Linked DNA regions of Arabidopsis thaliana. Each later gene encodes a partner of the first gene's protein in a complex. Each region holds a gene or a part of one and is shown on either strand. Other genes may lie near its edges.

What was found. Proteins that work in one complex are often made in the same cells at the same time.
Region 2: Tic20-II (region 1) and TIC55-II share a complex: the UniProt entries of both Arabidopsis thaliana proteins name them as parts of the tic complex.

Annotation. Positions count from the first base shown.
Region 1 is NC_003071.7:19,593,654-19,596,645, reverse strand, and holds Tic20-II (putative conserved protein ycf60), read left to right. Parts: upstream 1-1,644; 5' UTR 1,645-1,688; coding exon 1,689-2,315; 3' UTR 2,316-2,459; downstream 2,460-2,992. Other genes in the region: AT2G47850 (Zinc finger C-x8-C-x5-C-x3-H type family protein), read right to left, coding at 1-44, 374-513, 606-693; AT2G47844 (uncharacterized protein), read right to left, coding at 1,207-1,353; AT2G47830 (Cation efflux family protein), read left to right, coding at 2,673-2,992. UniProt on the Arabidopsis thaliana protein: May be involved in protein precursor import into chloroplasts. Not redundant with TIC20-I, TIC20-IV or TIC20-V.
Region 2 is NC_003071.7:10,573,401-10,577,494, reverse strand, and holds TIC55-II (translocon at the inner envelope membrane of chloroplasts 55-II), read right to left. Parts: upstream 2,554-4,094; 5' UTR 2,458-2,553; coding exon 2,063-2,457; intron 1,972-2,062; coding exon 1,869-1,971; intron 1,788-1,868; coding exon 666-1,787; 3' UTR 557-665; downstream 1-556. Other genes in the region: AT2G24830 (zinc finger (CCCH-type) family protein / D111/G-patch domain-containing protein), read left to right, coding at 1-502; AT2G24810 (Pathogenesis-related thaumatin superfamily protein), read right to left, coding at 2,796-3,031, 3,114-3,248, 3,307-3,462, 3,579-3,633. UniProt on the Arabidopsis thaliana protein: Involved in protein precursor import into chloroplasts. Part of the redox regulon consisting of TIC32, TIC 55 and TIC62.

The DNA.
Region 1 (2,992 bases):
AAACGTTCAGGATACTGCCCGGTAGCTCTAACAGTTGCTTCAACCTATACATGAATCAACATGAGAAAATAGTAAACTGTGGCCAAGCTAAGATGACAAAATGATAAGCTTTTACAAGAGCATACAAAGGTATCAGTAAATACAGGGAAACACCGGGTAGAGTCAATGCATAAGACAAAAAAAAACGTGACGTAAAGCACAACAACTGAAACCAGTAAAGCTTAACAATTTCCCCAGTTTAGAGAGACTCTATAAGGCCAGTGATCACCCACATTGCGGAAAAAACAGAGAGAAGCATTTGATTGTGTCCTCCTAGTATGGATGGTTTCAGAACAATAATAAGAAAGAAGAATGAATGAGAGGAAGAAATTACCGAGGCACGATCGCGAGGGTGATTGTAACGACATCTATTACCGTAGCCACAGACACCAGTTCGCATGTAGTAGGCACAGTCAGGAGCACCTGGTCTCTCAGGGTACGAGTCGCTACCCAACCCTAATCGCCACATCGATTCTGCAAATCACAAAATTGAGCACAGTCAGGGCCATTTAGCGGAAACCCTAAAGAGACCGTACAGTTGCTGAGAATCAAAGCGCATGCGAGACCTTGGAGTCCGGTATCGGCATCTGCAGGGGTCCAGTCGGGAGCTTGAGCAGATTGTGAGCCATTGAGGGGAGGATTGCGAGCATACATGTCCTTAAATTTAGGGATTTGGTGTACAGTAAAAAAGATACTAGTAAAAACTCCTCTCACCAAACTAGAAGAAACTAATAAGAGAGTAAATGTCAAAAGCTCATCGGTGGATCGACAGAGATTTACCGGAGAAGCCGATTAGAAAAGCTCTGAGAGAGAAGAAAAAAAGAAGAAGAAGAAGAAGAGATGCTTCGACAGTGATTGAGAGGAGCTTCTTCTTTGGTCGGTCTCTCTCTCTCTCTCTCTCTTCTTTCGCTCTTCAGGAATACCGTACGGTCTGCCCTCTGCACTACTGTTTCTTTTTTTAGCTTTCAATTTCTTTTTCTCATATTCTTTTTTAAATAATAATAGTATATAGTAGTAGTTTGTATTAATTTGTTTTGTGAGATTTATTTTTGGTTCTCTCTTGGTCCTTGGGTCGCCAAGTAAAAGCATCCCAGAAAAGGGAAGATATTTCCAAGAAATATACTACTTGACAAAACAACAAACAAAAAATAAATAAACTAATTTTTACTAGTTTCCAACCAAAATGACGGTAAGGTCCTTGGGCGGGGATAGCGCGCGAGTGGCCAACATGTGACACACAGACAGTTTTCTCACTTCACTTGCTAACTCGGGGAGTAAAGTGGTCTGGTCCGAAAGTGGGGACACATCCGTCATTTCTACCTGCTACTGTTTCTTAACTGCTCTCTCAACTCGCTCTGACCGAGTCTGACTCGACTCGACTCGCCTTCAATCAATGCCATCACATTTCTTCGTTTCCGCTTCCCATTTGTCGGCGCCACAAAAACCTTCTGTTGTTCACGAAGCCCTCTAGTACCATATATAGGCCCATTTATATAGCTAAGTCGGCCCAATTATGTTGTTAGTGTGCGCGGGCCAAATTTTAGATTCGAAAACGGCAGCGTTTGAGCTGTTACTTTTTTTTGCTCTTCTTGTCAACAAATCGACACTGCCGACTAAACAGCGAAAATCCCAAACAAAAAAATAAAAGAATGGCGTCTCTGTGCCTTTCTCTCCACCAAACCCTAACTAATCCCCTGTCGGCTCCCAGATGCAGACCACTCAGCCTCTCCTTCCCCGGATCCTCAACCTTCTCGATCCGCCCCTCTAGCAGACGCGCAACCGCCTTGACGACCCGCGCCTCCTACACCCCGACGCCGGCGACTGAGCGCGTGATTTCGATAGCGTCGTACGCGCTGCCGTTCTTCAATTCTCTGCAGTACGGGCGGTTCCTGTTCGCGCAGTACCCAAGGCTGGGATTGCTGTTCGAGCCAATCTTCCCAATCCTGAACCTGTACAGATCGGTGCCGTACGCGAGCTTCGTGGCATTCTTCGGGCTGTACCTGGGAGTGGTGAGGAACACGAGTTTCAGTAGGTACGTGAGGTTCAACGCGATGCAGGCGGTGACGCTGGATGTGCTCCTGGCGGTTCCGGTGCTGCTGACCCGAATACTGGATCCGGGTCAAGGAGGCGGGTTTGGAATGAAGGCGATGATGTGGGGGCACACGGGGGTTTTCGTCTTCAGCTTTATGTGTTTTGTGTATGGAGTCGTCAGCTCCTTACTCGGCAAAACTCCATACATTCCATTTGTCGCTGATGCCGCCGGTAGACAACTCTAATTCCGGCCAATATCTACCTCACTCAGTGTTCGGGTTTTCGATTCTAGAATCGGTTATTTCTGGTTTATAAGAGAGACCAAATCAATCAGTGTTGTTAATTAACCATTACCGTTTTAAAAAAAATATTTTTTGTTATACTCCCAACATTTGATTTGGCCCAATATGAAAGAACAGTATGGGGGGCCTTTAATGAAGCTATCATTGACTGAGTATAATTTTACAATCGTCGGTGAAAAGGTAACTAAGTAAACGGTAAAAAAATGAGCGCCGTCTATCTTACCGCGCAATGAATGAGAAGTCAATTTGGGAAACTGATCGGAGAAAAGAGGGAGAGAGGGTTTCTCAGCTGAAATCAAAATGGGTATTATCAGATTTCAAATCCTGAATCCGACGAGGATTTGTAGGTCTACTATATATTATATGTCTTGCCGTTATCTGCCATCATCATCATCATCATCATCACCACTCCGAGTATCTTCTTCTTCATCGCAAAAACCTAGTTTCGATTTCTCCAGAAGGTGGCATTTTGGTCACCCTGATCATCACCAGCAATATCAAAAGCCTGGAGAAGAAGGGGAGAAGATATTCCGGCTAGGTCTCACCGCAGATATAGGTTTATCTGTCGCAAAAGCTCTCACCGGTTATCTCTGCGGCAGCACCGCCATTATCGCCGATGC
Region 2 (4,094 bases), 9.0 Mb from region 1:
AGTAAAAGTACTTCCAGCAAAGCGGTCACTGGATTATGCTCTTGAGCACATTAGGAATGGAGAATGTAAAAGCGAGAAACAAAAGAAGAAAAGGAGCAGAGGTGGGAAAAGGAAGCGTGGGAAGAAGTTTGCAGAAGCAGCTAAAGCAGCGAAACAGGAAGAGGAATCGAAGCCAGATTTGTTTAGCTTAATCAATGAACAAATTTTTCCTACCCGCCATGAGAAAGTACACAGCGAGTCTGTAAAAAATAGGCAAAACAAAGGTCCAGTAGACAGGAAAGCTTTGGTTGAATACCAAGATGAAGTCAGAGACTTGAAGTTAGAAATGTTGAAACTAGAACAGATGGTGAACAGAAACAAGAAAGATCTAGTTGTTTCAGAGGCTGCGACGAGAAGATTGAAAGAAGTCCGAAAGGCATTGGCAAGTACATTAGCATGTCAAGCAGCTGCCTCAAATGCTATAGTAAGCAAAGAGAATGAGAAGAAATGGCTCAAGTTTTAGAACATAGAACTTTAAACCAGTTTAACAGAAATTTCATGGTTAAACTGTAAGATTGATGGCAAACATTGGAACCTTCTGAATTATATAATTGCGTTTACAAGCAAAAATTTATTTCATGAAATACATATTGTTGGAAGAAGAGGAAACATGACACTATACATTTTCATAGTCTTCTGTGTGTTCTAATGAAGTTATTGGTGTTTAGATTTATAGCTCTTAAGCAGGTATAAGCTGCGGCTGAGCACAATGCTGCTGAACCTAACAGGACAGCCTTCCACTGTCTACTAACCACCAGAATGGCCAAAGCCGTCAAAGCCACTGCCGTGGCAGAGAGGATATTTTTCCAGAGCTCAAAAGATTTGATCACATTGCTGCAGCTTCTACAATGAATAATATGTCTGAAGTACCGGTTAGCCAAATTGGGAGCATGCATAGTCCCAATTCCGCCTTTTGCAGGGTAAGAAGCAGAGAGAGCTGCAATGAGCCCTGCCGGGGCATGTTCCACGACAGGAGGGACTTTGGGGAGAGATATGGTCCTATGCCCGAAATGGTAAGGCATCCCATGACCAACTTTGTCCATCCACTTTCTATATTCAGCGACCCATGTGTCCGATGACTTTAGATTCAAATACAAGTCCTTAGTTGGTACTTTCTCCTTCATCAGAACCTCATTTTGAGACGATAGAAACCCCATGTCTTGTTCAAAAACCTTGCAGGCATTCTGATGCCAGAACCATTGAGGTAACACCGAAACCAAAGGCGATCTTTTTGTGACCCCAAACCTAACAATAAGCATAGACTTCCCTTGCCCTGTAGGTCTACAAAGAAACAGCCCTGAAAAATAGTTCTTCACTCCATCCTTCCCCTCGAACTCTCGATTGTTCTGCAGAACACAAGGAGCATCAAACCGAAGTAAATTACTCCCTTTCCCACCTTCTTTCTCTCGGCCCCAAGTCCCTGCGAAACCCCGATTACTTCGCTCTGTGACCTCGAAAACCAAAGGCTGAGCATCTTCTCTTTTAGCAGTGAAATCCGTTCTATCATGAGAGATAGGAACATGAGCAGGATCCATCAGATTCTCTAAAAGAATGGAATGGTCATAAGGAAGCTCATGAGTAGTCGAAATGTCGAAAAAACCGGGTCTAGCGAAATTCTCAAACCAAGGAAGCTTCTCAGGGTTTGGAGGTGTCTTTGTTGACATCCACACCCACACAACTCCTTGTGAATCCTTCACCTCATACGTCTTCACACAAGCAGCCTTTGGAATCTTAGCACTTGCAGGAAGCTGTTAGAAACAGAACCCAAAACCAGTAAGTACAGAGTAAAGAGAAAATCTCGAAATAGCAAAAATCAGTAAACAAAGAACCTGAGGAATCTTGACACATTTGCCCTCTCCTTCAAATTGCCAACCATGATACAAACATTCCAATCTCCCATCAATCAATTGTCCTTCAGACAACTTAGCCAACCTTTATAAAAAAAAAGACAAAACTCAATTTCAGATTCCTAAACAAAAGTACAAAACTAGTGGTTGTGGTTTTGCTAGATGATTTATCTTACCGATGAGGACACCGATCTTCGTAACAACGAAGTGTTCCTTCACCGTCTTTATACAAAACAATTTGACGATCGTAGACGGTGAGGCCAAGAGGCGCATCTTCAGGGACGTTTTTAGTTAAGTACAATGGATACCATTCCTCTGTCCAATCATAATCCGCCACCTCAACACGTTTCTCTTCTTCAGGGTTTAAAAGAACATCTCCACCTCCTTCTGTTTGATCAGATACGGCGGTTCCAGCGACGGCGGAGCGGCGGAGGAGACGTAGACGAGGCTTTGTGGGTATAGTGCATGTTGATCTGTGGTTGTGGATTATTGGTGTTGGTGTTACTTTAGTGAAGAGAATCGGAGAAGTGGGTGTGAGTTGTAGAGAAGAGCTTAGAAATGGAACAGCCATGGCGGATTCTTCACTAGAGAGCTCGAATCCAATGTTAGGTGTTGTTTGCCTCTTCTCATAAAATATATCATAAGGTTGCTTGTTCAACCATTGGACCTCGTTCCACCACATACATAGATAGTAGAAACTTTGGCTAAACGACGTCGTTTATTTTTACGTTATTTAAATGTCATTTTAACTTCTTTTTATTTTATTTTTAATCTTTTAAGTTTTAACATTAGTCTTTTTTGCTTTAATACATTTCATAGTGATGAAAAAAAAACATAAAACTATGTTAATAGTGATTAATTATTTATTCATTGTTGATAATAATAACAATAAAAAAGGCTATACTATGCCTAAGAACAGAAACTGATAACATAATTAGCACTAGTACATGTAAATCTACTCGAAGCATAATCGTACACATAGCTATACGCAGTGGGACAAGCTCCTTTAAATATCTTCGAGTATTTCGTCGGCGGGCAAGTCTCCGGTTTACTGAAAGCGCCGGTGCAACAATACTCCGGTTTGTTAAAAGCCTCACAAGCACTCTTACACGCCACAACACCCGATGAGCCGTTAACGCGTAGCTCTTTTGGACAAATGGCATTCACGTCCGAAACACATCCCGCGGTTTTACAATTGCCTGAGCCACCTTGTGGTGTGATTTTCACCTGAACGTTGTAACCGTCGACGAGACTCACGTCGTAAGAATCTTGTACGGTGTATTTCTTTCCAGAGGAGCCGATTCTGAATTCTGCTAGTGTGGCTGGTGGTGCTCCTCTTGCACCGGTGCATTTTTACATTTTCTGGAACCAGAGGCGTTGAAGTTGCAGCCCGTTCGACCCCAGATTCGACCAGACCAACCTGGAGAAACGGTTAAGTTTACAGAAGAACCTGAAGCTAAGGCAAATCCGCCGCCGCGGAGTAGTGTGCGGTTTGCGGTTAGGATTCCGGGCCACACAGTAAAGTTGCAGCGGTTTGATAAAGTGAAGACGGTGCCGGAGACAATAGAAATTGTACCTTGAAGAATATACAATTAAAAAAAAATTACTAGGACGGACAACAAAAAAAAATTATCAGATAAATTATTAAATCAAAGTAGTCATCTTAAAATGTTGGAAATGTTTTATGTATACATGTGGCTATGATGAAGGAGAAGAAGAGAAGATGTAATTTGGAGAAAATAGCCATTGTTAATCTGAGTATTGAAAAGTTGAAGTTGTGATGATTAGTGAAAGTTGATGGTGAGGATCCTCTGTTTATAGTGTTTTTCTTTTCTTTAGAAACAAATCCATTAACTTATTGTTTTGGATACTACTACCATAAGTGACACTTCATATTTTTATTTTTTTTACTTTTAAAGTTTAATGAGATTTTGTTTCTTATTACATAAAAATCAACTTTATTAATCTTAAGGAAATCTCCGTAAGCATTGATGTTTTGGATTTTACACACATTAAAAATTAAACATTATTTTATGACTGTTTATTTTTTATATTAAATATTTTTAATAACTATAAACTAATACTCATTGATTGTAATCTAATAAATTTAATCATTGCATCCTGAACTTTGTGATTTATAATATCAGTCAATAAAGAAGAAAAGAAAAAAAAAACTACAAAATTAAAGTGGAATAAACTTAAAATGAT